5 linked regions of the Coturnix japonica genome follow. The protein of the gene in region 4 purifies or fractionates together with the protein of the main gene of each other region. This does not show direct contact. Links are inferred from orthologs where the notes say so. Each region holds a gene or a part of one and is shown on either strand. Other genes may lie near its edges.

Evidence for each region.
Region 1: the proteins of RBX1 (region 4) and cullin-9-like purify together in Homo sapiens (affinity purification with mass spectrometry; 5 studies listed by BioGRID and IntAct, with this or other methods). This does not show direct contact. The link is inferred for Coturnix japonica from reciprocal best matches to the Homo sapiens genes RBX1 and CUL9.
Region 2: the proteins of RBX1 (region 4) and FBXO42 purify together in Homo sapiens (affinity purification with mass spectrometry; 4 studies listed by BioGRID and IntAct, with this or other methods). This does not show direct contact. The link is inferred for Coturnix japonica from reciprocal best matches to the Homo sapiens genes RBX1 and FBXO42.
Region 3: the proteins of RBX1 (region 4) and CAND1 purify together in Homo sapiens (affinity purification with western blotting; 6 studies listed by BioGRID and IntAct, with this or other methods). This does not show direct contact. The link is inferred for Coturnix japonica from reciprocal best matches to the Homo sapiens genes RBX1 and CAND1.
Region 5: the proteins of RBX1 (region 4) and FBXO7 purify together in Homo sapiens (affinity purification with mass spectrometry; 5 studies listed by BioGRID and IntAct, with this or other methods). This does not show direct contact. The link is inferred for Coturnix japonica from reciprocal best matches to the Homo sapiens genes RBX1 and FBXO7.

What each region holds. Positions count from the first base shown.
Region 1 is NC_029518.1:3,471,425-3,476,161, forward strand, and holds part of cullin-9-like, read right to left. Parts: intron 4,674-4,737; coding exon 4,466-4,673; intron 4,386-4,465; coding exon 4,207-4,385; intron 4,130-4,206; coding exon 3,906-4,129; intron 3,827-3,905; coding exon 3,592-3,826; intron 3,513-3,591; coding exon 3,407-3,512; intron 3,331-3,406; coding exon 3,103-3,330; intron 3,014-3,102; coding exon 2,923-3,013; intron 2,852-2,922; coding exon 2,680-2,851; intron 2,561-2,679; coding exon 2,455-2,560; intron 2,333-2,454; coding exon 2,237-2,332; intron 2,158-2,236; coding exon 1,982-2,157; intron 1,734-1,981; coding exon 1,600-1,733; intron 1,532-1,599; coding exon 1,370-1,531; intron 1,293-1,369; coding exon 1,183-1,292; intron 1,106-1,182; coding exon 923-1,105; intron 749-922; coding exon 600-748; intron 462-599; coding exon 239-461; intron 149-238; coding exon 1-148. UniProt on the Homo sapiens protein: Core component of a Cul9-RING ubiquitin-protein ligase complex composed of CUL9 and RBX1. The CUL9-RBX1 complex mediates ubiquitination and subsequent degradation of BIRC5 and is required to maintain microtubule dynamics and genome integrity.
Region 2 is NC_029536.1:3,750,366-3,754,689, forward strand, and holds the end of FBXO42 (F-box only protein 42), read right to left. Parts: intron 4,058-4,324; coding exon 3,941-4,057; intron 3,798-3,940; coding exon 2,721-3,797; 3' UTR 1,197-2,720; downstream 1-1,196. UniProt on the Homo sapiens protein: Substrate-recognition component of some SCF (SKP1-CUL1-F-box protein)-type E3 ubiquitin ligase complex. Specifically recognizes p53/TP53, promoting its ubiquitination and degradation.
Region 3 is NC_029516.1:31,603,054-31,607,790, reverse strand, and holds part of CAND1 (cullin-associated NEDD8-dissociated protein 1), read right to left. Parts: coding exon 3,632-4,737; intron 2,881-3,631; coding exon 2,785-2,880; intron 1,522-2,784; coding exon 1,352-1,521; intron 1,255-1,351; coding exon 1,090-1,254; intron 889-1,089; coding exon 781-888; intron 1-780. UniProt on the Homo sapiens protein: Key assembly factor of SCF (SKP1-CUL1-F-box protein) E3 ubiquitin ligase complexes that promotes the exchange of the substrate-recognition F-box subunit in SCF complexes, thereby playing a key role in the cellular repertoire of SCF complexes.
Region 4 is NC_029516.1:45,482,143-45,487,483, forward strand, and holds the start of RBX1 (E3 ubiquitin-protein ligase RBX1), read right to left. Parts: upstream 3,256-5,341; 5' UTR 3,241-3,255; coding exon 3,112-3,240; intron 2,311-3,111; coding exon 2,232-2,310; intron 1-2,231. UniProt on the Homo sapiens protein: E3 ubiquitin ligase component of multiple cullin-RING-based E3 ubiquitin-protein ligase (CRLs) complexes which mediate the ubiquitination and subsequent proteasomal degradation of target proteins, including proteins involved in cell cycle progression, signal transduction, transcription and transcription-coupled nucleotide excision repair.
Region 5 is NC_029516.1:48,678,582-48,683,318, forward strand, and holds part of FBXO7 (F-box only protein 7), read right to left. Parts: intron 3,838-4,737; coding exon 3,745-3,837; intron 1,679-3,744; coding exon 1,502-1,678; intron 868-1,501; coding exon 830-867; intron 620-829; coding exon 221-619; 3' UTR 1-220. UniProt on the Homo sapiens protein: Substrate recognition component of a SCF (SKP1-CUL1-F-box protein) E3 ubiquitin-protein ligase complex which mediates the ubiquitination and subsequent proteasomal degradation of target proteins and plays a role in several biological processes such as cell cycle, cell proliferation, or maintenance of chromosome stability.

The DNA.
Region 1 (4,737 bases), on a different chromosome or scaffold from region 4:
CGAACTCATCCAGCGGGGAGCTCAGCGCCGCCGGGAACAACCTGCGGGGCTCCTGCACGTAGCACAGCGGGGACACGGGCCAGCAGCGCGGGGACAGCACCAGCACCTCCACCTCCGGCACATCTGCCGCAGGGGCCTCCTCTGGAGCCTGGACGCAGGGACAGAGGGCGGCTCAGGACGGGCCCAGGACGGGCTGGTAACGGTACGGCCCCGACCCCCATCCCTCCCTGCCCCTCACCTCGGCCTCGGGGCTCTCCGTGCCCAGGCCCCGCTCCAGCAGCCGCCGGTCCCGCTCCTGCAGCCGGAAGAGGCGGAAGTGCCGCCGCAGCTCCTCGGACTCCACCAGGTCGCTCAGCATCTCCTGGGGGAAGCGGCGGGGGAAGCACAGCCCCATCTGCTCCACCACGGCCCCTTCCAGCCAGGACGGCCCCTGTGCCAGCAGCCGGTCCCCCAGGTACAGCCTGACACAGCCGCACGTCAGGGCCACCTCGGCCCCGTGGACAACGGCCCTGCCACCACCGGGACGGGCCCCGCAGAGCCACGGAGCCCCGGGCCCATGAGCCCTTCCCTCCCCAGGGCACGGCAGGGGCAGCGCTCACCGGTAGAAGTGCTCGAAGGTGTGGGCGAACTCCAGGCCGCCGAAGACCACGAAGGGCTCCAGGATCTGCTGCAGCTGCCCTGTGCTGCCCACGGCCCCGTGCAGCTCCTGCACCTTCCTGTCCAGGTAGCGGGCAAACCGCTCGCTCACCTGCAGAGGAATGGCACAGTGGTGTGGGACGGGGCGGCCGCAGGGGTCAGGGCACGGGCAGGAGCCCCGGGGCATCAGAAGGGGAGATGTGACCCGGCCCGGGCAGGGAGCACAGCAGGGCTGTGTTCCCACAGCTGGGCATCCACAAGGGCCATGCTGGGCCGCTGGACTCACGTGCAGGGAGGTCAGGAAGGAGAGCTGCAGCAGAGCCCCAGCAAAGCCCTGGCCCAGAGCTGCCACAAAGGCGGCCTGCTGCCCAAAGAGCTCCTCTGTGGCACCGCGCAGGCACCGGTACAGCGCACAGTACTGCTCCACCATGTTCAGTGCCTGCCCCGACACCTCCAGGAACCGCTGCACCTGCGGGCACAGCCCAGAGTTCAGCCTGCAGTGGGACGGCAGTGGGCCCCGCTGGCACTGACCGCCCCGCACCCTACCTGCTGCTGCACCACGCCACGCCAGCACCGCACCATGTCCCACAGGCCTCCAGACTTCACTGCCACCGCCACCCGGGCTGGTGTCTCCTTCTTCCTGCCCTCCTTCCCACCTGCCAAGGCACAGCCGAAGCTCAGCCCCTCATGTTGCCCCTCGCCTGGCCCCGCAGGAAGGCAGCCCTGCACTCACCCACAGCTCCCTCCTCCTCTGGTTCCACACCACCCGGGTCCACGTGCACCAGGAGCTGGGTCAGGCGCCGCACACAGGAACCGAAAGCGTCGCTGCGGGGCGGCTCTGTGCTCCCCAGGTACTCACCCAGCAGCCAGGCCAGAGGGCTGATGCCGCTGGGGTCTGACGGGATGCAGAGACTCAAGGGGGGCCTCGGGCACCACAGGGAGGGCCCAGGATGACAGTGGTACCTGGGCTGGTGATGCTCTGCACCACGGGGGTCACCAGGGCCTCCCAACACGTCCTGCCCAGGGCTCGGGCCACCTCGTCATCAGGAAGGAAGCGGTCAGTGAAGTCTTGCTCGTGCTGTAATGCCCCGTTCAACCTGCAACAGTAAGTGGGCAGCACGGTATGGCAGCAAGCATCCACCAACTGCACATGGAACCACCTGGCCAGTCAGGGGGCAACAGGCATCACTCCTGGCCCTGCCCCTCACCAGGAAGGACACTGCTGCAGCCCCACTCCTCCCAGGGCAGGACTCAGCCTCTGCCCCCTTTCCCTCTTGGGCTGACAGCAGCACCCCTGCTGCCTCGGGACCCCAGGGACAGATGGCACAGCCCACACGCCACTCACTTGCCAAAGAGCTGCAGCAGCTGCCCCCGATCCTGGTGGATCTCCTGGCACCAGGCGTGTGCTCGAGCACTACAGAAGAGGAACGTGCGCCGGCACAGCTGCTCCTTGAAGATGGGCCAGAAGGTGGGCTTGGGCCCCAGCACTTCAATGCCACGCACGCGCGTGTCGATGCCCCCCTGCAGGAAAGTGCAACCCTGAGCTCTGTGTCCATCCCCAATGTCCGCTGCCATGGCCCGGGCTGGCCACAGCTCCCACCTGCTGGCACCGCTTCACCCGGATCTGGATGATGGGCCAGAAGCGCGTCATGTTCTCCAGCAGCACCACCCTGCTGGCTGAGGGCAAGACGGTCACCTGCAGGCAGATGGGAGCTCTCAGTGTGGGCAGTGAGAGCAGACACCCACACGTGCCCGGTCAGCCCCGGTGCAGCCATGGCCGGGATTGCCCCACAGCCCAGCAGCACTGGTGCAACTCACTGCGTTCAGCTCCGTCCGGACGTCGGCGGGGCTGTCTCCCCCAAGCACCACCACGCGGGCTGGCATGTAGCTCGAGTCCTCGCTGGCCACCAGCATGCTCAACTCCCTGCATGGCAAACACGGCACTGCCCTGCAGCTCCCATCCACATCCAGCAACCCCAGCATGGGGCCACAGGGACAGCGTGCGTGGAGCCCCGCAGCCATCTCCTCCCCGCACAGCCCTACCGGACCACCACCCCGCACTGCATGTGGATGGTGATGTAGTGCGAGCCGGTGCTGCCGTTTGACTCCCAGTAGGTCTTGGGGTTCCTGTCCGTCAGCTTGCTGGCGCGGTGCGGGTTGGAGGAGACCTGCACCTTTTCCCAGCACTTGTCCTCCTTAACGTCCACGCTGGGGCCTGCAGGGAGAGCACACACAGCCTCCAGCTGCTGCTGGGACACGTTGCCCGGCTCGCACTCCTGCACTCACCTCGGCACAGGTTGCGCAGAAAGACGTCAAAGAAAGGGATGCTGATGGGCCGCTGGCTGCGGCGGTGCTCCTCAATCTGCCCCAGCACCACCTGGGGATGGGGACGGACCCACGCAGTCAGTGGGGGCCTCATCCTTCTCCCCAAGTCCCCAGGCAGGGTAGTTCAGACACCCAGCCCACCTGGATGCAGCCTGCCAAGATGCTGCCCGTCAGCTTCCTGTAGAGCGCGGCGTGCCTCTCACAGTCGCTCACCAGCTCCAGCAGGGATGGTGCCAGCGGCAGGGCCGGGCTGTGCTTGTCCAGGGCTTTGGCCACAGCCTCACGGGCGCCTGCACTGCACATCCCCACGGTGCAGTCTTTGCTGGCAGTAGCCAGGCGGTGCAAGAAGCCCACCGCCTCCTGCACCACCTGCGGGGACATGGCCCTCAGCCGGTGGCACGCAGCACAGCCCTCCCTGCCCCCAGGAGCACCAAGGCCCTCTCACCTCGCGGTCGCTGCTGTGGGCGCTCAGGAAGGACAGGCACGGCTCCACACACTCATGCCAGGGCAGCGCGTCCTCCTGATAACCGTCCAGGAACACACTCAGGATCCTGCACGACAGATGGAGCCGCTCAGCCTGGGCCATAAGGCAGCCGCGCCCCGAGCCCCCACGCTCTGACCAAGCCCCACCTGAAGATTCGCAGCCCCACGGCCTTCTCTGCCCCTGGCAGCTCGAGGCTGCGCAGCAGTGGACGGAAGCATCGGTGCTCCTGCAGCTGCCGGGATGCCTCACTGGCAGGAATGGCGGCCACGCCGCAGAGCTGCCGTTCCAGGGCCACCACCACGTCCTCGGGCAGCACGCCGTCCCACAAGCTGCCTGCAGGAGCCCGTGTCTCCCTCACCTCCGTCAGCAGGGCCTCAGCACCTGCGAGACAGGCAGTGAAGGACGAGATCCTCAGCCCCTACCTGCGAGGCTGTGGCACAGAGGGCCACCCGCACAGTACCTGGCATCTCAGGGCCATAGGGCAGCTGGTGCTCTGCCAGGTGGTTGATGACGCTGAGGGCCAGCATGGCGTTGGGGCAACCGGAGTCCCGTCCAGCCTGCCAGCAGCTCTGCAGTACCACAGGGAGATCACAGCCCACCAGCTGCTCTGCCAGGACCCGGTGCCCATCCACCAGCATCCTCACCACCAGCATGGGCCCGCCTTTCTGCACGCCCGAGGAGCCCCTGCGGTTATGCAGCCGTGTGGGCACCTTCCTCCCCAGGTGCAGAGCTCCCCAGGACCCACACAGCTCCATCCCTACCCTGGCACGGCCTGCATGGCACGGATGGCAGCGGGGATGGCACCCAGCAGGCCGGGTGAGCCCTCGCCGCAGGCAGAGCCGATGCTGGCAAAGATCTCCCGCATCATCTGTGCGTCGGCGTGGCTCAGCAGCGAAGCCTTCCGGCTGCCACCTCCAGCTCCCACCAGCACCTTCAGGGCCTGCGTAGCCCGCAGAGGCTCAGGGGATGGTGGGATCCAAAGCGGGCCCCGCCAACCCCCAAGCTCCCACACGCACTCACCGCCAGGCCGGCCTGCTGCACCAGGGCAGAGGCCGCGTGCTGCTGCATGCAGGCCAGCACCGCTCGCACACCTCCCTCAGTGCCGAAGGGCACACTCCAGGCACAGCTCTCCATCAGCAGGGCCACCAGCCGCAGCGCCAGCGCTGCCGGGTACAACTTGGCTTCCTCGACGCCCAGCAGCTCCACCAGCGCCTTCACCAGCTTCTCCCTGCGAGGCCGAGGGCAGCTCAGGAACGGCACCTTCACCTGCCCACGTGGCCACACTGAGCTCA
Region 2 (4,324 bases), on a different chromosome or scaffold from region 4:
GGGCACTGAGCCCCTATAGGTCTCCATTGCCCCGACTGGGCCTCGCCGCCCCTCCCGGCCCCGCAGCCGTCTCTAAAGGCCGCGTTGTGGGGCGGCCCGTTGCAGCCTCTACCCGCCCATGGGGTCGCACATCCCGTCCCGGCCCCACGGCCGCCCCACGGGGCCCCCAACGCCCCCGGGCAGCGCCCACCCCCCGCCATCCCGCCCCAACAACCCGCCGCCCTCACCCGAGGCCGCTTCCGCCCGAGTGACGTTACGTGGGGCGGGGTTTATTATACGACCCGCCCCTTCCGGTTGTAGGCCATATATATAGAGCTCCCTATAGGGGACCCCAAAGCTATGGAGGACCACAGAGCCATAGAGGACCCCAGAGCTATACTAAGGATACCTAGCCCTATATGAGCCCCTATAGCCCTATGTAAACCCCCAGACCTCTATATTACGAGCTCAAAGCCCCATATGCTATAGCTTACCCCAAACCTATATAGGGTATAGGGGACCTTGATCCTTATGTCTTAAGACCTCCCGTAGCCTTATAGCTACCCTATATGAGCCCCTATTGAACCCCCAAACCTCTATACTACAAGCAAAAAGCCCCATATACTATAGCTTATCCCAAACATATGGGGTAGGGGATCTTGATCCTTATGTCTTAAGACCTCCCAGTGTTAGCCCTATAGCTACCCTATATGAGCCCCCAAACCTCTATATTACAAGCAAAAAGCCCCATATGTTATAGCTTACCCCAAACATATGGGGTAGGGGTAAGCTATAGGGGCAGGGGACCTTGATCCTTATGTCTTAAGACCTCCCAGTGTTAGCCCTATAGCTACCCTATATGAGCCCCCAAACCTCTATATTACAAGCAAAAAGCCCCATATGTTATAGCTTACCCCAAACCTATATAGGGTATAGGGGACCTTGATCCTTATGTGTTTAAGACCTCCCATAGCCTTATAGCTCCCCTATATGAGCCCCTATGGAACCCCCAAATCTCTATATTACAAGCAAACAGCCCCATATGTTATAGCTTACCCCAAACCTATATAGGGTATAGGGGACCTTGATCCTTATGTCTTAAAACCTCCCAGTGTTATAGGCTGCCCTATAGGTGATGGAGGCCCAATGGACACTCCTATTGGGAAGCATTGCCACCACACAGCCCCATTTTTCCCCATACACAGACTCAACATTCAGCCACTTCTTCCAAGTTTTATTTGTTCAACGGCTAAAAATTCCTCGAGGGAGAGAAAGAGAAAGAGCAGAACATAAAAAACCAACCCAAAAATGTACACAGATTTCATTAAATATCACCAAAAAGGGACTCCTCAACCCCCTCCCCCCCACCCCCTCCCATAGTGTGGCCCTGCAGCCGGGCGCTGCCATTTTGGGGTAGTTTAAAGGGATTTGAGGCTGTTGGGAGAACACAAAGGGTGGCAGCTGGTGGGGATGGGTGAGAACATCATACCCAGCTCCCAACAGCTCCGTGGTTTTGACTTTGAAGGGGAGGCTGAGACATGCAGACAGGAGAGAAACATGGGACGTCACATGGGGGTCCCCCCATAAGGAGAGGGGATTTGGGATTGGATTGAACTGAAGGTGTATCTACAAACTGCAGATGAGGCATTGCCCTCTCCCCAGCCCCATCCCAAACGGGGCTTCCCCTCAGCCCTGTTGGACCAAAACAGGTTCATATTGTAGGTAGAAAACAAAGAGAACCCCGATACTTTAATAGGGGGAGGGCTGTGATCCCCAAAGGTTGGGGGTTGTGGTGGTGAAGCCGGCAAAGCTCAGTGGGGATGGAGAGGAGATGGGGAACCACGTCATGGCGCTGCCGGTGCACAGGGCTGTGTTTTGGGGCTGAATTTCCTACTTTCTTTTGGCTATTTCAGGTGCTGAAGCCGGGAGCATCCTCAGGAAGGGCAGGCGCTGTTGGTAATATGGAGCCCCAGCTTCCCTCCCCAACCTCGAGCTGAAAGAGAAGGAAGGAAGGAGGCAGGAAGGAAGGATGTTTGTCCCAGACGGACACACGGGTTGAATCCATTTGGATTTTTGCTTTGTTTTAATCTTTGCGGAAGGAGGCACATGCAAAGATGGTTTTGTTCCTGCGGTGGAGGCTCACGCCGTGCCGCTCGGGTGCACCAACGCTCAGCATTCAGCCTGTTCCTTTCAGCATTTCCATTGGGAGCAAGTCCTGCCCGTCCTGTTCACAATGATTATTTTTTTGGCTTTACAATGCAAAACTGTCCTTTCTTCCTTCTTACGGTCCTGCAACAAGGACAGGAACGAAGCTGTCAGGCCAAAGGGGTGAGAGGCAAAAAGAAGGCATCGTGTTTGTGTCGAGCAAAGCTTACGGTCACAGCTTGCAGTGCTGAAGGTTTGTTCAGGTATTGCTGTTGTTTTCCTTCCTCCCAGCACGGGAATGGTCAGTGCAATGAGCTGACAGCCTCCTGCTGCAAGGTTGGCTCTAGGAAAGCACCGTGACTCGCCCTACATCCTTGGCCTGGGCTGCAGCATGGAGCACAGTAACAGGTCCTACAGCAGGGCGCTGCTCCCCTGCTTGTAAACACGATTTGCTTCACCGGGGCGTGCTGGAGGTTGGCTTGGGCTGCATTGTTTGTTGTTCCCTAATTCACAGTTTGAATGCCTGCACGACAGATTTCAGAGGGAGAGGGAGAGCCACGGGGGGAGGGGAGCGGTGGCGATGAGCTCGGGCCACATTATCTCTTTGCTCGCACAAAGTACAAGGCATTTGTTTTGGGATAGTACTTCACGTTCTGTTTCTTGTCCATCAGACCACCGAATATGATCAGCTCCCCTCTGCCTTGCACCACCGTGTGCAAGCTGGTCTCGGGTGGCCCCACCACCGAGCTGCTAGTGAACACCTTCCATTTAACTCGTCCTTTTTCCTTGGTGTCCTTAATGTCCAGCACATACATCTGCATGGGTTTGCAGTTCATGCTCTGGTACAAAGGCTTCCCCACGTTGAGGGACTGCGGGGGGTGGTGGCCCAGGCGGCGGGCGATGGGCGGCAGCGAGTGGCTGTCACCTTGAGCAGAGCCCGGCCGTGCGTCGGCACCGCTGCCTTGGCTGCCCGGGGAGCCCGGTGAGGAGCCAAGCGGGGGGCTGAGAGCAGCAGAAGCTGGGGGAGCTTTGGAAGAGAGAGCTTTGATGGCCTCCAAGCTCCTGCGGAGCGCTCCGGGGGACACGGCTCCCGGCAGAGAGTGGGGTGGTGTGTGGATGCCGTTGGTGTGCTCGGGGGGGTTCCGCAGCGTCCTGCCCTCCGCGCCATCCGTCTGGCACAGGGAAGCTGCTTTCTGCTCCCAGCTCAAATCGATGGAGCCCAACCGTAGGTCCTTCTGCTCCGGCAGCGATCCTCGCCTCGGTGCCAGAGCGAGCCCAACTTTTAGGTCACATCCTTCAGTGGCTCCGGGTGTGCCGGGCGATATGAGCTGCACTGGGCTGTCCAAGGAGGCACCGCCAGGCGCCGCAGCCCCGGGCGATAAGCTGCCACCATTGAGCACCGGGGAGCTGTCACCTCTGGCTGGGGAGAGGCTGCCCTCCCGTGAACCTGAGGGTGTCTGGCGCTGGGCTCTGGGCCTGAGGGTGCCCCAGCGGCCATTGACACAAGGAGCCTCATCTGTGGTCCTGACCGGGGACTGGGAGCGGTACTCGCGTGTTTCGGGGACCAGGGCGGGCGGTGTGGCACTGATGGGAGAGGGACGAGAGTTCAGGCTGGGGCTCAGCGGGGCTCTGCCGCTGGGAGCCTGGCTGAAGACCACGACGCACTGTCCTACCTGCAAGAGAGGAGAGGGAATGGGTTATGGACTGCTGGGGGGCTGCTGGGACAAAAAGGAAGAGAGCATTCTGGGCAGGAAAGTCTACAGGTGTGTGTGAGAGAGCAGAGATCCCAATGCATCTGTCCCAAAGCCAGACTCACCCTGCAGGCAGGATGGCACCACAGCTCCGGGGCTCCATGGTCCTCATTCTCTACCTTGAGTGGCTGCCATGTCCAGGGGTTTGCCTGCATGTGCAGCAGCCAGGCGTCTTTGAACAGCTGTGAAGAAAAGCACAAGGGATTCAGGAGACCAGCGTGCTGCCAAGATCATCCTACAGGGGCAGGAATGGTGCTGTGCAGCTGCAGACAGAGGGACACTGACACACATTGGGATCTGACCACCCAGGGGTGGCTACACCCTGCTGTGGCTATGCACAAGTCCCTTCATCCCCATCTGCTGTCCCAGTGTAAAGTCAGGGCTTCTAATTAACATCAGTGAACTGCTCAGATAGCTCCTGGGATGACTTTTATTAATTAAAGGCAGCT
Region 3 (4,737 bases), about 14 Mb from region 4:
TGTCAATAACAAAATAAAAACGCTGGCAGCTAACCCTTTAGCTAGTAGAGTCAGTAAATAACATTGAAATGGCACTATCACAAATACTTTCAGACTTCTGAGAACAAAAATTAAACAAAAAATCTGCTTTTTAAAAAAAAATTGATTAGCCTTCCCTCTTGATTTCAGTGATAAATTATTATTAGAAACAGTAAAAATTACCGACAGTATATATAAAAGATTACAGTAATGGGGAAAAGAAAGATAAATCAGGCATTAAATCAGTATCAGAGCCCATAGCTGGATCAAGATGAGTGGGAGAAGGAGACCAACTGTGCCAAAATCCAAAAATCTCATTATATAAATGATGAGGGAAAAACAAAGCAAACAACACGATAAAACAAACCAAAAACCAGCACCACTTTATGCTACCTCCATCCTTCATCACGCTAATGCTTGTCTGCAACAACATAATCATCAGCAGTCAGAAAAACCCTCAGTATTCTAATTTCACTGTTTATAATAGACACAAGTTGCTGAAGTAGCAGCTAGATTTCTGAGAAACAAAAGAAATGGCAAAGAAGCAGCATTTTTAATAATGAACTGATCATTTTACTCTTCAATTTGTAGTTTAAGAAGAAGTAACGCATCTGCTGACTGCAATTTACAAACTGTAACTCAGGAAATGCTGCAGCAGTAGATGTGGATTACAAGAATCATTCTTCATATACAAATTCATTTGTAATTCTGTAAAGCAATACAAGATAATTAGCAAACAGAAGTTCCTATTTAAAAGAATACCTTAGTTGTACATGTAGCGCGCAAAGGTTCAACAAGCCTATCCAATCTCTGCAGCACTGCGCTTGGACAAAGGGTAGACAGTCTCACCAGCATTAAAAAGGTTAGCATCTGGTTGGAGAGAAAACCAAAAATCAGTCATGCGGAGCACAGAGTTATTTCCTAGAGTACTCTGCAACCGTTAACCGTAATGCTTAAATATTTCATTATTTAAAATATCATTAAAGCACGTGAAGTATCATTGCTACCATCTCAGTCTACTCACTATTCAAAACATTTACTGCTTGCTTACGTAGTAAAATGACAGCTAACCTTAATGTCATAGTGATCCTTCAAGCCATCTTCAACATGGTTTAGGAATTCAAATATATCTAGTCTATCCAAACAGCTATCCAGAAGAGTATACATGCACTCAAAGGCAGCTTTCCTAATGTCCAACCCATCATCAACTGTGTGCTTAAATGGTCCCATTTCCACCTGTCAGCAAACAAAAAAACAAAGTTAAAAAGTAATATATTTAGGCAAACAGAGTCTACTTATGTTAATCTGGTCACATTTTGCTCAGTTAACGTACCTCTCTGATTAATTCCTTTCTGACTTTTGTTTCATTGTAAAGATGAGGAAGCACAGTATCTAAGAGGTCCCTTATTAATGATGGTTTGTTGTGTGCAGCTGAGTTAAATGTCACTAGGGCTACCCTCCTGACATTGAGATCTGGGTCCTCCAATGTTTTCAAAAAATCACCTGCAATTGAATAGAGAAATACATCAACAAATTCCTAATGGACCAGAAGATAAGCCTACTCAGCATGTATTAATGTAACAAGGCCTGTCTCCATACGTTTTCACATTAGCTCCTTTGTAGCTTTGTAGCACTGCTTTGATAAAACAAAGGCCTGCAGGAACAAGTATTTTCACCCCCCTCCTGCCCCCACAGTATTTAGCAACTTCCAAGAGTGCTGAATGTTTAAAGAGGGGAAAAACAGGATGTAAAAAAAGGCGGCTTCTACACCCACAAAAAAAAAAAAGGTAACAAGACTAACAAGAAGAGAATTTTGAAGTAGTAGATCCCAATAGCTCATTTACTGTTTTCAATACCCAGAAAGTATTTCCAGAAATCGAAAGGGTAAAGCACCTTCAGTGGGAGGAAGACAGCAGGAGGAGAAGCCCCCACGCATAATCATTCAACTCATTAATGTATTAATAAAAAAAATATTAAAGATTAGCAATGAAAATAAGGTAAGAACTGACACTGCCTCAACCATAAACAAACAACCTGCTCCCCACAAAACTGTTTCTAAAGATGAATCTTTTTACCTCTTATTAGATTTAGTGGCATATGCTCCTTTCTAAAGATTTTAGGGTCATCAATCCACTACAAAGCTAAGAGTCACCACAGCATATTAAAGAAATCTACAACAATGTCATACAAATGAGAAAAGCTCAGAAAGCCACAGAATTGCAAAGCTCTATCATACTGAAAGCCCTGATTACCTTACCCACAAACAATAGCTTCCAATAATTTTCAGACCAGAAAGCATTACAGAATTGCAAGGGCCTAGATTTACAACCCACCATCTGACAATACTCAGAATTAACACGTGTATATATATTTTAAGACCAAGTATTTCCAAGACCACCTTTCTGGGTAAAGAAGGAACCTTACTAATTCAACCTGACATAATTTACAAAGATCCTGGAAGAAGAAATCATCTCTTAGGTACCATCTTTCCTTGTCCTTGCTCCTTGCATGCTTTGTCCATTGCAGATGCATTATATGCAACTTTTATCACATATCTTGTACCACTCTGAATTCAAATGAGCTAGAGTTAACAAAAATAATTGGCTCCTAAGGAAAGCACTTCAAACACTTTCAACAGTTAACATAAGCAGTTATTTCTAGTTCCACCTACAAAATAATCTTCCTCCGAAGACACACAGAATACGCTTTAAATGCAATTCCATTGCTTGAAAACTTAGAATTTGTCACTAGAAGTAAAGAACTTACCTATGCAGTTCTTCAAGAGCGGGTCTATGGGTTGTGGATGATCAGAAATAGTGAACTTCACAGCAGTCACCACAGAACTTCGAGCATACGAGGATCCTAATGTGAAATAAAATTGTGAGTACGTAACAGTTAAAACAGCACAACTACAGAATTTAAACCACACTTAAACCCATTCTTTCCGAGCTTCTAATAGTCTTACACAAGCTGAAGAGCAAATGCTACTTATTATTGGTAACACAGCATTGTCTCTGTAGATGTACTGGTGTTACATTTTAAACGCTGAAACACAGTATTTGAAATAAATCTTTTCTGCACCAGAAAACTGAAGTAATGAGGCTACTTGCACACTCTTCTAATTTCTCTCATGCAAGCCTTTAAACAATTCTCCTCTTTAAAGCAGAAGGACATGAAGAAAACACACTGATGCAGTTCTTAATACGACTATAACTCAGTATCAGTTTCATCCTTTCCAACCTTACAAACTTCAGAATTCTTACTGGAGAATTAGGAATATATTAAATGTTAATGCTCTGCAACAAATCTATCAAGCAGTACTGTCCTTTGCTGCCCACGCTCTTCCCTTTAAGTTTATAGTTTTGTTAAATGTAACATTATTAAATTAAATATCATACTCTGAAAGCAGAACATAAAAGTAATTCATGCTCTGCACCACTTAACTTTCTCTTGCCCAAATGGAACTAAACTTCATATTGTTCTTGGCAGAGGGTTTTGGGGGGCAAGCAGACTTCAGGAATATTACAGAACTTAAGGAAATTGCTAAAAAAACCCACAACAATATATTAAGATAATACAAGGCCATTTTCTACAATTTAAGCATACAACTCACCTGATGCCAAGTATCCCTTGAGTCGTGGAAGCAGAGTCTCTGGGTCTATTAAAGTAAGCTTGCCCAAGCATTCAGCAACAACATTCCTTGTACCCTCTTCTGCACATTCGCAGTGTTTCAGGAGTAAGGCCCAGATGTTCTCAACATATGGTTTGAGACCAATCACTGATGCAGAGCTAATTATTTCTTTCAAGGAATGAAGAAGAAGGTATTGCCTCTTAGGCTGGCTGGTTATTTCTTGTAAGACAAAAGGCAGATACTCAGGAAGATTGCCAACACTAATACTGCCTAATGCGTAAGATGCTGCTGATTTGACTTCTTCACTAGGAGAAGAGAATGCTTCTAATATTACAGACTTCAGCTCAATTTGTCCACTTAGGTCAATGTGATGCCCAACTTCCCCAAGTGAAAGCAAAGCCAAAAGCCGAATGGAATCCGTGGACCTTGAGTTCTTGACATCTTGAATGAACTGACCTACTACAGCTGGTCCCTCCTTAGGGCACGCTCGAGTAAGGGCAGCCACACATTTGGCAATGGAATAATAAGACTGCTTGTGAGTAAGTGCTGTGCTCTGAGAGTACACTGGACCCGTTAACATGCGCAGTAAATCCATATAGCCTAAATTATTTGTACCAGTCACAACCAAAGCTTGGAAAAATTCTAGCATGGCACTAAGTGCTCCGCCCTGAAGTAGAGGCGATCTCACCAGCCCAATAAGTTCATTGAGAATGGACCCGCTAATCTTTGACAAGGAGGAAGGATATACTTTAGCAAGTGTTGTCAGAAAACTGATGGCCATCTGTGATACGTGCATATCACTTTCACTAATAAGAGGTGGAAGCTCATCCAGGACAGCATCAATCATGGCAGCTGTCAAGCTGTCACTGTAATTCTTAATTAAAATATCTAGAGCTGAAAGAGTGCCCAGTTTCAAAGCCCGTTGGTTCTTTCTCAAAAAAGAAGCAAGAATAGGAACTCCTTCCCCCAGGATTGGTCTCAAATCTATCTTCAAAGGAGAACCAGCAATCAGTGTCATGGCCTTCACTGTCGTTAACCGAGTGATTTCATTCTTCAGTCTCTCTAGGAAGATCTGAAGTGTACTAGGC
Region 4 (5,341 bases):
TCCTTCTACTTATAACCCCTTCATATGATGCTGAGTATCTGAGTATCACTCTCAAAATATTTGTGCACAGCTATCATTGTCCACTCCTAGTTATGACTTAGCAAACTATATATACATGCCTTAGCAAACCTCATATATTTAGTTCTGCTCTTCCCAAAAAGCCAAAATAAACCAACCTGCAAATCACTGTGAGATTTTTTTCTTTGGATTCTAATCAATTTGTCCATCTCTGTGACACCAGAATATCACATTGATACTTTCCATCTTCTATCAGAGAGAGTCCACTATTTTGATGCCACATTTCACACAGTTCAAAGCACACCAGTCACCTTGCAGTACTACATTCCACTTAGAGGACAACCCACTATATGATCATGGTGTTTCTCAACATTCCCCAAACTTGCCCCATTGCAACCATTGCAGCAGGGAATAAACCTTGAAAGAAATCAAGGATGTTGCACAAAGAAAATCTAAATACATTCTGGGCCCTTTCAGAAATGAACAAAAACCACTGAAAATCTACTCATCCCTTCTATGTGCCGAACATGAGCCATAGTGAGGGCCAGGGGAATCCTTTGTCCTTAGTATTAGCAGCCAAGTCGTAATGTATGTGCATTAGCAAGACTGCACGAAACCTTAACATTGTTATATCCTAACTTTTGGATGCTCGACTTCATAATGTTAACAATCTTCCATTAGCGTGGCTGGTGTTACTTATCACCATTGTAATGTTTTCCCTTTTAAGGTTTCTCCTCATCAGTGGGAGAGGGAGACATTCCTGCCCTGCACTTTATCAAACTGAATCTTGTGTTGTTCTTCCCTGCACAATCTAGTAATTTTTTCTCTATTTCCCATCACTTCACATCTTCGGTTTGAAAATCTAATTAAGATGTTGCTTAACATCATTAATGATCGTTAACAAGGAAGTAAGTAAATCCAGAGCCAAGGCTGAACTCAGAACACCAATTTAGATACCGCTTCTACTCTGTATACTGTCAATTTTGGTCCATCATTTGCAGTTTGGGCTTTTGATAGCATTGATTATGCCCTAACTAATAAGGTGTTATGCTTGAGCAACTCAAAAAGCAAAACAAAACAAAAACTAAGTTACCTGTGCTCTCTTCCTTTGAAGTTCTTCCTAACACGTCTATATTCTTTCAATTCCACCCAACCTCAATTCTTAACTGTAAAGCACTATGTCAGAGGTCCTCAGCACATGTCACAACCACTCCTCTCACCTGCTTGCCTTTAGTGCTACCATTCCTCTTCTAATGATCAAGAATAAAGTGAGCGATGGACAGGCAGCAGCTGGCTCAAAATAGAACACATCTGACTCAAAGCAAAGAAGTCAGCTTGCTTAATCCCCTTTCAGCCCTGCATGGTACACTGCACAGCCTCTTTTTCTTTTCCCCTGCTCTTTTATATTATCACATTGGCTCACTAACAGTAAGTTACCATCAGCTGTACTTGCAAGGGCTACTAAGAAGAAAGTGAAACAAAGCGACCACAAAGAAATCATGACTAGCCCTTGTCAGGTACTGAAGGTCTTGCTTTTTGAGGTACCACAATCCTCCCATTTTAGTAGTACAGGTGACTTCCTATCTGGGGGATGTTAAAAGGTGTTCTGTATCTTATCATTGAAAGAACATGGACAGTTACGGTGCCAACCATATATTGCCAAAGATTTGAGGGGAAAAAAAAATGGCTCTGTTCTTATTGCCAATCCTCAATTAGACCAAAGCCGGTGACTTTATATATGGATACCTATTTCACAGTAGAATTTTTTATACTTACTCCTACTACCACTTTGTTTTCCTAAATAGTAAGTGTATTTGTTAACAGGACTGTTGGGACCATACAGGGGGGAAAAAAAAGGTGAATTAGTACTAGCAATGCTTGGTGTTGGTTTAGGCATTAGATTATTCTCTTCATAGATAACAAACGGATTCTCTAGCTGGCCACAGAATTCCCCACACTATAACCCTAATTTAGGCAAAGTAGCTTTGGCAGAATGAGGAGTCAAAAATTCAGTGGCCTGAATCTTTTCTGGTCAGTCAGACACAGAAAGCAGAACTTGAGCACTACATAGAACAGAGTTTATAGTGTTACCGAAAGACTTCATTCTGAACTGAAAACCAGATTTGCTGAAATGCACCCTGAGCAGTGGAAATTTCAACTGTGAATCTTGTACATGTCAAAACTGTAAGCACGCTTCCCCATCATTTACTTACATAGATCCATAATATGGTTTCTGCAGATGGCACAGTTATCAACCACAATGTCCCACGCCCACAGAGCTACTGCATTCCACTAGAGTGAGGGGGGAAAAAAGAGAAACATAAATTTTATTCAACATATAACACATGGAAATCCTCATTATTCCTCAAGATCCTCTTTCTTTCTGAAATGATAAGGTTAGGATATTAAAAGACACACACCTTACAGCACCAGAGTAATTCTTTCTCAGATACCTCTCACACTCAGTGCCTCCTTCCAGTCTCAGAAACAATTGATACTAGTCCCACTCTCTTTTTTTTGCCATACAAATGCAAACATCTGCATTTCAATTCATAATCTGGAGGCAAGAATGCATCTCACGCCACATCCTCAGTTTGGAACTTCTCTTGTTTGTAGCTGTTTTCCCAGTAATCATCCCTCAGAGCAGCTGGGGCCAACAACCAGAATCACCTCTAACTTTGCCCCTCAGCGACTCCTGAATCATTTTCATTGCAAAAAATATACAATATCAAAAGTGCTCCCACAAAGTGCTCCTAACCACCTCCGGGCCTCGTTGAAGTGAACTTGGGATCTTTCACCACCATTCAGCTCGCAGCCACACTGGAGAGGGTAGGTCAAAGAGGGATATTATGGTTGTTAGGCCAAAGAGGGATATTATGGTTGTTTGGGGGAAGCAAAGCAAACCGGGATGACAAGACAGCATTTGTTGGTCACCTACGAGTTGATTTGTGAAGAATACAAAAAGAAGCAGCCACACAAATGCGTGCAAAGCTCCCTTCACATCACGTAGGGCCACTAAGACAACTGAGCCAAAGCAGCCGGGACTGAGGAGGCAACAGCAGCGCACCGACTCGCCCCTAAGCCCGGCATTACCCTCGGCTCTGGGCGGCGGGGCCCAGCCAGAACTAGCCCCGCCTCGCCTCTCTCCCTCCTCCTCCCCGCGTGGTCGCGCCCTCTGATTGGCCAACCTCCGTTCCACGCGCGGAGACCCGTCTCACCCATTGGCCCCGACACACGCCAATAGACTCCGCAAGCACCGCCCCCCCCTCCCCTCATACGGCGGTGCCGGTGCGGAAGCAACGCCCGGCTCCGTGAGGGGGCGCGGAAAGCGGCTCAGCGCCCCGACCCGCTCGCGGCCACCTGGCCGCTCCCGACCTCCCTCCTCCCGCTGGGACCGGCCGGGTAGAGCGCGCCACGCCAGCAGGTCTCACTTTCTTCACTTCGAAGCGCTTCTTGCCGGCGCCGCTGTTGGTGCCGCTGGGGGTGTCCACATCCATCGCAGCCGCCATTTTGGATGCGTGAATAGGCCGTTCCGCTCTGTGCGCATGCGCGGCGGAAGGGGCCGCAGGGAGGTGTGAGCGGAAGGTGTAGGCGGGGCTTCCGCCAGGGCCTGCCCTTACCCCCCCCCCCCCCCCCCCACACACACCCCTCCGTCCCCGGCAGAGCCTTTTTAAGGGAGGAGGTTGCCTTGCTCTTCAGCCCTTGCTCCCTTCCCAGCCCCTCAGGTGGGCTGAGCTGAGCTGCATATCCTTTGTACCATATCAGCCTCAGTGCTACCCCAGTGGTGTGGGATGTCTCTGGGGCGCTCAGGATGCACTCAGGAATGAAAATGTTCTGAAAGAAAGCAGGAATTCATGTGCTCCGAAACACTTTTTAGAGCAATACTTTATTGTACAGAGGTTATAAAAATGAAGTGCATTTTATAACTCCTTAAAGAACTGTAGGGCTGGCTGGCTGCCCTCCATTGCTGATGCCACTAAAAGTAATTGATTTGGCTAAGTTTGCCTTTGCTGTTGTGAGTGTCCAGACAGACAGCATCACAAATGGTACCTCATTTACCGTCTTTCCACATTGCCACAAAACTTCTCAGAGTTCATGAATATCATGGAACTTCAATACTCTGTAGCATCCCCAGCTGATCTGGAGTGCTCAGAGAAAATTTGAATTCTAAGAACAGAGCCAGAGGGGTAGATTAAGCAATATATCCCATAGTTTTTTGGCCCAGATCATGGTTGGTTTCTGCATGAACCCAATCCCTCTGCCTCTGTGTGTTTTCTAGATGATGGTCACATTATATTCCCATGTAGTGCCATTGTTTTTTCAATCTGTTACTAAAACCTCAGGTGAGAAATGAAGCCTCCCGCTCCCCATAATCTGACTAAGATGAACAGATGAGATTCAGAGAGAGGAACGAGTTGCAGCATTTCATGGGATGGTGACTAATTGCTGCTCTTTCTTTCTCATGGTATTGCACCTCAAGCTGCTTGATAACTTGAAGATAAAATAACAACCAACCGTCATGACTCAAAACCAACATGCAGGTTACCAGGTGCTTGCAAAAACCATGGTACTTAATGACTGTGCCCAACCTACTGCAAACAGCCTTTCCTCATGCATGAAAAAGAGCAACGGGAAGCATGGTTCTAGGCTCAACAAATAACTCTGTCTCTGCAGAGGACATCTCAGCCCCTCATTGTGCCCAGCCATCAGCTGTGACAGGGAAATATGACTGGGACAGAAGAGTCCCAGTGTATGACAGTGAGGATGTTGGGCTGATTTAAAAAATGGGGATGGGGAGCCCCTCAGTGCTCCAAGGAAAAGACATGGGAAAGAGGGAGAGCTTGAAGGCTTTAACCTGAGCTAAGAGCATGGAGAGATGGCAGAGACAGGCTGCCCAGGGAGGTGGTGGAGTCTCCTTCTCTGGAGATATTTAAGACCCGCCTGGGTGCCTACCTGTGTGACATGGTGTAGGGAGCCCGCTTTGGCAGGGGGGTTGGACTCGATGATCTCTAGAGGTCCCTTCCAACCCCTACAATTCTGTGATTCTGTGATTCTGTGACATGGGCTGTGCTTGTCACCTGGGGAGAGGACAAGTCCTTCAGTGAGGGAAGTGATTTAACCTGAATGCAGACAGCTGGCCAGAAGGCACGCACAAGGTGACTAGAGGTGATGGGACAGACCCAGTGCTGGAGACAGCACCATCAACCACAGCAGCAGCAGCTTTTTCTCAGGTGAAAAGCAATAGGATCATAGAATCATAGAATCATAGAATTACCCAGGTTGGAAAATACCTTGAAGATCATCAGGTCCAACCACAGCCTAA
Region 5 (4,737 bases), about 3.2 Mb from region 4:
TTCTAAGTCACAGCCCATCTTGAAAAAGACCTTAGTGCCAGGTACTGCACTATTACCAGAACACAAACAAACCCTAACTCTGGGGTCAAAACATTACCATGCAAACAAGTTCTTGCAACAATCTGAGGAGAAGGCAGATGTTAGTGCCTGGCTTTACAAGGTCCTGCAGTTAGAAAGCAAGCTCAGGAACTAGAAAATCCACTGAGGGAGAAAGCAGCAATCAAATGAACGCACGGCGAACGTCCGTGGGGCGGCCCCGGCTGGGTCTAGGTGGAAACCTGTCATTGGGACCAGCTCGTCCTGGAAGTGTAGGGTTTGCTCCAGGCAAGGAACCAATGGGGTCAAAATGTGGTCTGAATGGAGGAAACTGGCATGGTGCTTCTCCTGGGCCAGGAATGAGTGAATTAATTGGGTCTCCAATATACAGAAGCGTTGGTCTCTCAACATATTCTCCAATGACCATGGGGGGATAGATTGGGTTTGATGGGAATGGGTTGGGAGGAAAGGGACTAGGATAAAATGGGTTGGGATGAAAGGGAATTGGATGAGGTGTAGGGGGCAGAAACATGTGCCTCCATCTCAAGGCCTCCTTCTTCTGTTTCAACTTTTTCTTGTATAGCTGCAGACAGAAACAAAGGTATTTTAAGGTTCACCAAGTCTCTTGTTGATGTTCATCTTCCCCTACTCCAACCAAACTCAACTCGTGTTTACAGAACACTTTTAAATTAAAATTTAACTCAAAACTACAGCTTCCCAAAGTCTCTGTGTTTGCCCTGAATTTCTCCCATGTAGACTAATCTCAGTGAGATTATATAGAGAAGCCACCTACTTCTTTCCAGTCAGTGTCACGAGGCCTTGCAATGGGATCTACAAGAGAAGCACAGAATCAAAATGAGCAACCTCTTTTAAGTAGCATTTATGCCAAGGATTTGTGGGAACATGCAGGAGATGAAAAAAACATCTCTGGTCAATACATAATGTGTTTAAAAAAAATATAAAGCTGTAGGACCATTCAGTATATAATCTACTCATATTCTATATAAAATACCATCTCCGAAACTCCTAGGAAATCCCAGGAATATTATTCCCATCTTTGATTTATAATAGCACTTCCCTTTACCACCTTTTTCTTCAGTCTCTTGTGAGGAATTCTAGCAGGAATATCCCTTCTCTTCACTCTCAGATAGCTGCAATAACAAGTGTATCTAAGTAGCAAGAGAAACAGATGAAAACAACCAAAGTTCTACCACATGATGGGCAGAACTATATGGTCCATGAGAAATGGCTCAGATAACTATTACTATTTTTCATGACAGAAAACAGAATACCCACCTGAATTACATCTAGTCCACTGTACTGGTCACTATCACTAATGACTCTATTTGATGCCACTATTTAAAAATCAAGACTGCTTACCTGAGCAACCTCTTATCAAAACGTAAGACCTAATTACCCCTGTTCACACGAGAATGAAATTGAAGAAAATGTGTATCACCGTTACCTCTGAAATCTCGCAGATACATAAACCTCCACAGAAGCTGATCATTTGAAGCTGCATAAAGATCACGGCAAACAGCAGACAGAGAGATGAGGGAACGGACATCCAGAAGTCTAAAAATCCGAAGCTTCAGCTCAAGAGGAAGGACCACTAACCCAAAGACATCTGGCAAGTTCAGAGCTACGAAGTGGAGGACACAGAAGAATTAACTAAATGGTGCAAAGCTGATGACCCTGAAGAAAAGAAAGACATCATAACCTTTCCCTTAGATCATTCCCTTTTGATGCCTCAGTTAAACAACGGGTCTCCAAAAGCACCAGGACACGGTTTCTTAGAATACTGATCTCTTCCACCTTGCAGTATGTTTATGAGTTCATGAAATAGGCCAAATGGTACTTTACACTGAACACCAGTGACTGCTGTTAACCTAAGAAACATGCCGCATGCTTATGTGTGCAGGCTACAGAACAAAGGCCAAAGGAAAAAGGTCTGCCTGATTACAAGAGTCCATAAAAAAAACATATCAAATGCACAGCATATGTTTCACATAAAACTTGCCCGCACTGAAGTCTACGGATTCCACTGTGTCTTCAGAATACTAAGCTGAACTCTTTTACAGCAGTATCTATACACAGAAAGCCTGATTTCCTACTGCTGATAGGTCTTAGAAAAGTCTAGTAAAGAGACACAATCAATATCTGGTTGCAATTTTACACGTTCCATGTGAAAATTCACAGGTAACGTATTTGTGTCAACTGAAAACAGGAGAATGGCAAACATGAAAAAATTTGATGAATCTCAGACTCCTTTATCAAAACAGAAAACTGCAAATATGTCATTGTTCACAGGACAGTTTAGCACCAAAATGCTTATAATCATTTGCCATAACTTCAATTAGCACTGCACCGTGCCCCCTGTGTCTTGGTTTCAGCTTAGTGTCAAGCACACCCTGATGTTTGGCTGTTACTGAGAGATGAGTGCATGCCCACGGCTGGGCCGGGCCGCAAACATAACAGGAAGAGCCTGCCATGATGATGTAGAGTAGGGGGTGGCTGCAGTATGAGCTATGCCAGGCTGCATGCAGCATGTGGGTTGGACATGCCTGCAGTTCTACTGTTGAACTTTCTGTTGAACCGGTTCTACTGGCTGAGCTTTCCCACCAATATGCTGTTACATGCTGTTGCTTTCCAACAGATGGCAGCAGAGGGGCGGTCTGACAAAATGGTGTCTGACACAGAAGTGTGGATGAAGCAAAAGTCTGGTACTGAGTTCTTCCATGCAGAAAAAAAATTGCACCCACTGACATTTATCAACATTTGCCGAATGTTTATGGAGACAAAATATTAGGTGTGAGTACAGTGAGGCAACAGCTGTGATGTGAAAGAAGAGCCATGTTCTGCATGGCCACACACAGCTGTCACATAATGAAACGAAGAGTGTCTTTATCAGCTCATCCATGTGAATCAGTGGATTACTTCCAGGGACCAATGTACAGAGCTGAGTGTCACCTTCAAGAAGTTAGAAAAGATGGTGGCAACACTAGAATATTGAGACGTTTGTGTCAGGTGGGCCCCACCAAGGCTCACATAGGAACAGAAAAAAACAATTTATACAAGTCTGTGAGGACCCATTGCAACAATACCACACTGACAGTGACAGCCTCCTGTTCCATTCTCAATCATGAGATGTGGTGTCAGCACTATGAGACAGAGTCAAAACAGCAGTACACAGAGCAGTGATACATGAATTTCACATTAAAAAAAAGTTCAAGGTGCAGCCCTCAGTGGGCAAAGTGAGGAAAGGGATGATCCTCCTGGATTTCCTAAGACATGGACAAACCATCAATGCTGACTGCTACATCACAATGCTAACTAAGCTGAAGGCTCCAACTTGCAGAGTCAGGACAGCAAAGACAACCACTCTTTTGCATCATGGTTATGTCAGGCCCCATACCAGTTTAAAGACAGTGGAGTACATTGCCTGTCTTGGCTGCACTGTCCTACCACACCCATCATACAGTTTGGATTTGGTGCCCTCTGACTTTTGATGGGAAATTATCATTATATTGACTTCTTTTAAAATACAAAGATTAATCTAATTTCTTTAGAGTGTCCATTTTTTTCTTACTCTCCACATACCCACCACTGAGCAGCTGTCTGAACTGTTTCTAACACTTCTCCCTCAAGACTCTGCATACACTCCCTCCCTTTCTTCCATCTGCAAAAATTAAGTATCATCTCTCTCACCTTGTCGGGCAGCAGCCAGAAGAGAATAAACCAGCTGGTCTTTAAAGAGACGAGATAATTTCTGAAGGTCTTTGTAAACACCCGCAACCTTTTCTATCAAATCAGAGAGATAAAAAGCTTAATTTCAAGAGGTTATAATGCAATGATTATGCAAGAGCAGAAAAACCATGGCTTTCTTATAAACAAAACCGTGATCTGTTTGTCATCTTGGTGGGCCCAGGTCTGCAGCTAGTGTGTGTATGTGGATAGTGTGTATGGAATAGCAATTTTTTGAGAAACTCCAGCCTACTTCCATGGTAAGGCTAGGCTACCCAATGGCTTTAAAAAGCACCATTATGAGAAATACATGAGTTCTCCAAAAACCAACTGGCTCTCAAGCTGTCAGACCTTCTTTGATCAGATTTCAAAGCTCAGATGGCACACACCTATGCTGTAAATGTCTGTTACATTCATTTTTCAGATAAGAGTGCTTTTCCATTCTGTTATCCTAGGAAAGAGGAGCCAGAAGACTCTACCATTATCTTGGACACGTCAGTGCTCAGTTATTCCTCTAGAGCCTTTTGACTAGCTTCTTACATCAGTGACTGGAGATCTGAGAGACACAGTGTAGGACACCAAGTCATCCTCAACTGGCAACAAAGAGGTTCATTAATGCCTTGTAAAACAAAAGGCTAGTCAGTCTTCTGCTGACAAAGGATCCACATCCATCTGTCCTTCTCCTCCCCCACCTTAGTACTTCTCTGATTTTGTCATTCTGGAGAGAGTTATGTGGTTGGCATCTATTTTATAACACAGATAACAGTTACGTTGTCACAGTAAGAGTGTAGGTATCACCAGCCTCTAAAGTCCTGAGCCAGCAGGGAGAAAAAAAGAGGGTCTAATCCAGCATTGCTGCCTCAGAAATTTACACTGACATTTAGAACCTCAGAAATAACAGGCATTTGGGACAAAGCATGAGTCAGTCTTTGCAAAATCCTTTCTTTATTCAGTTAA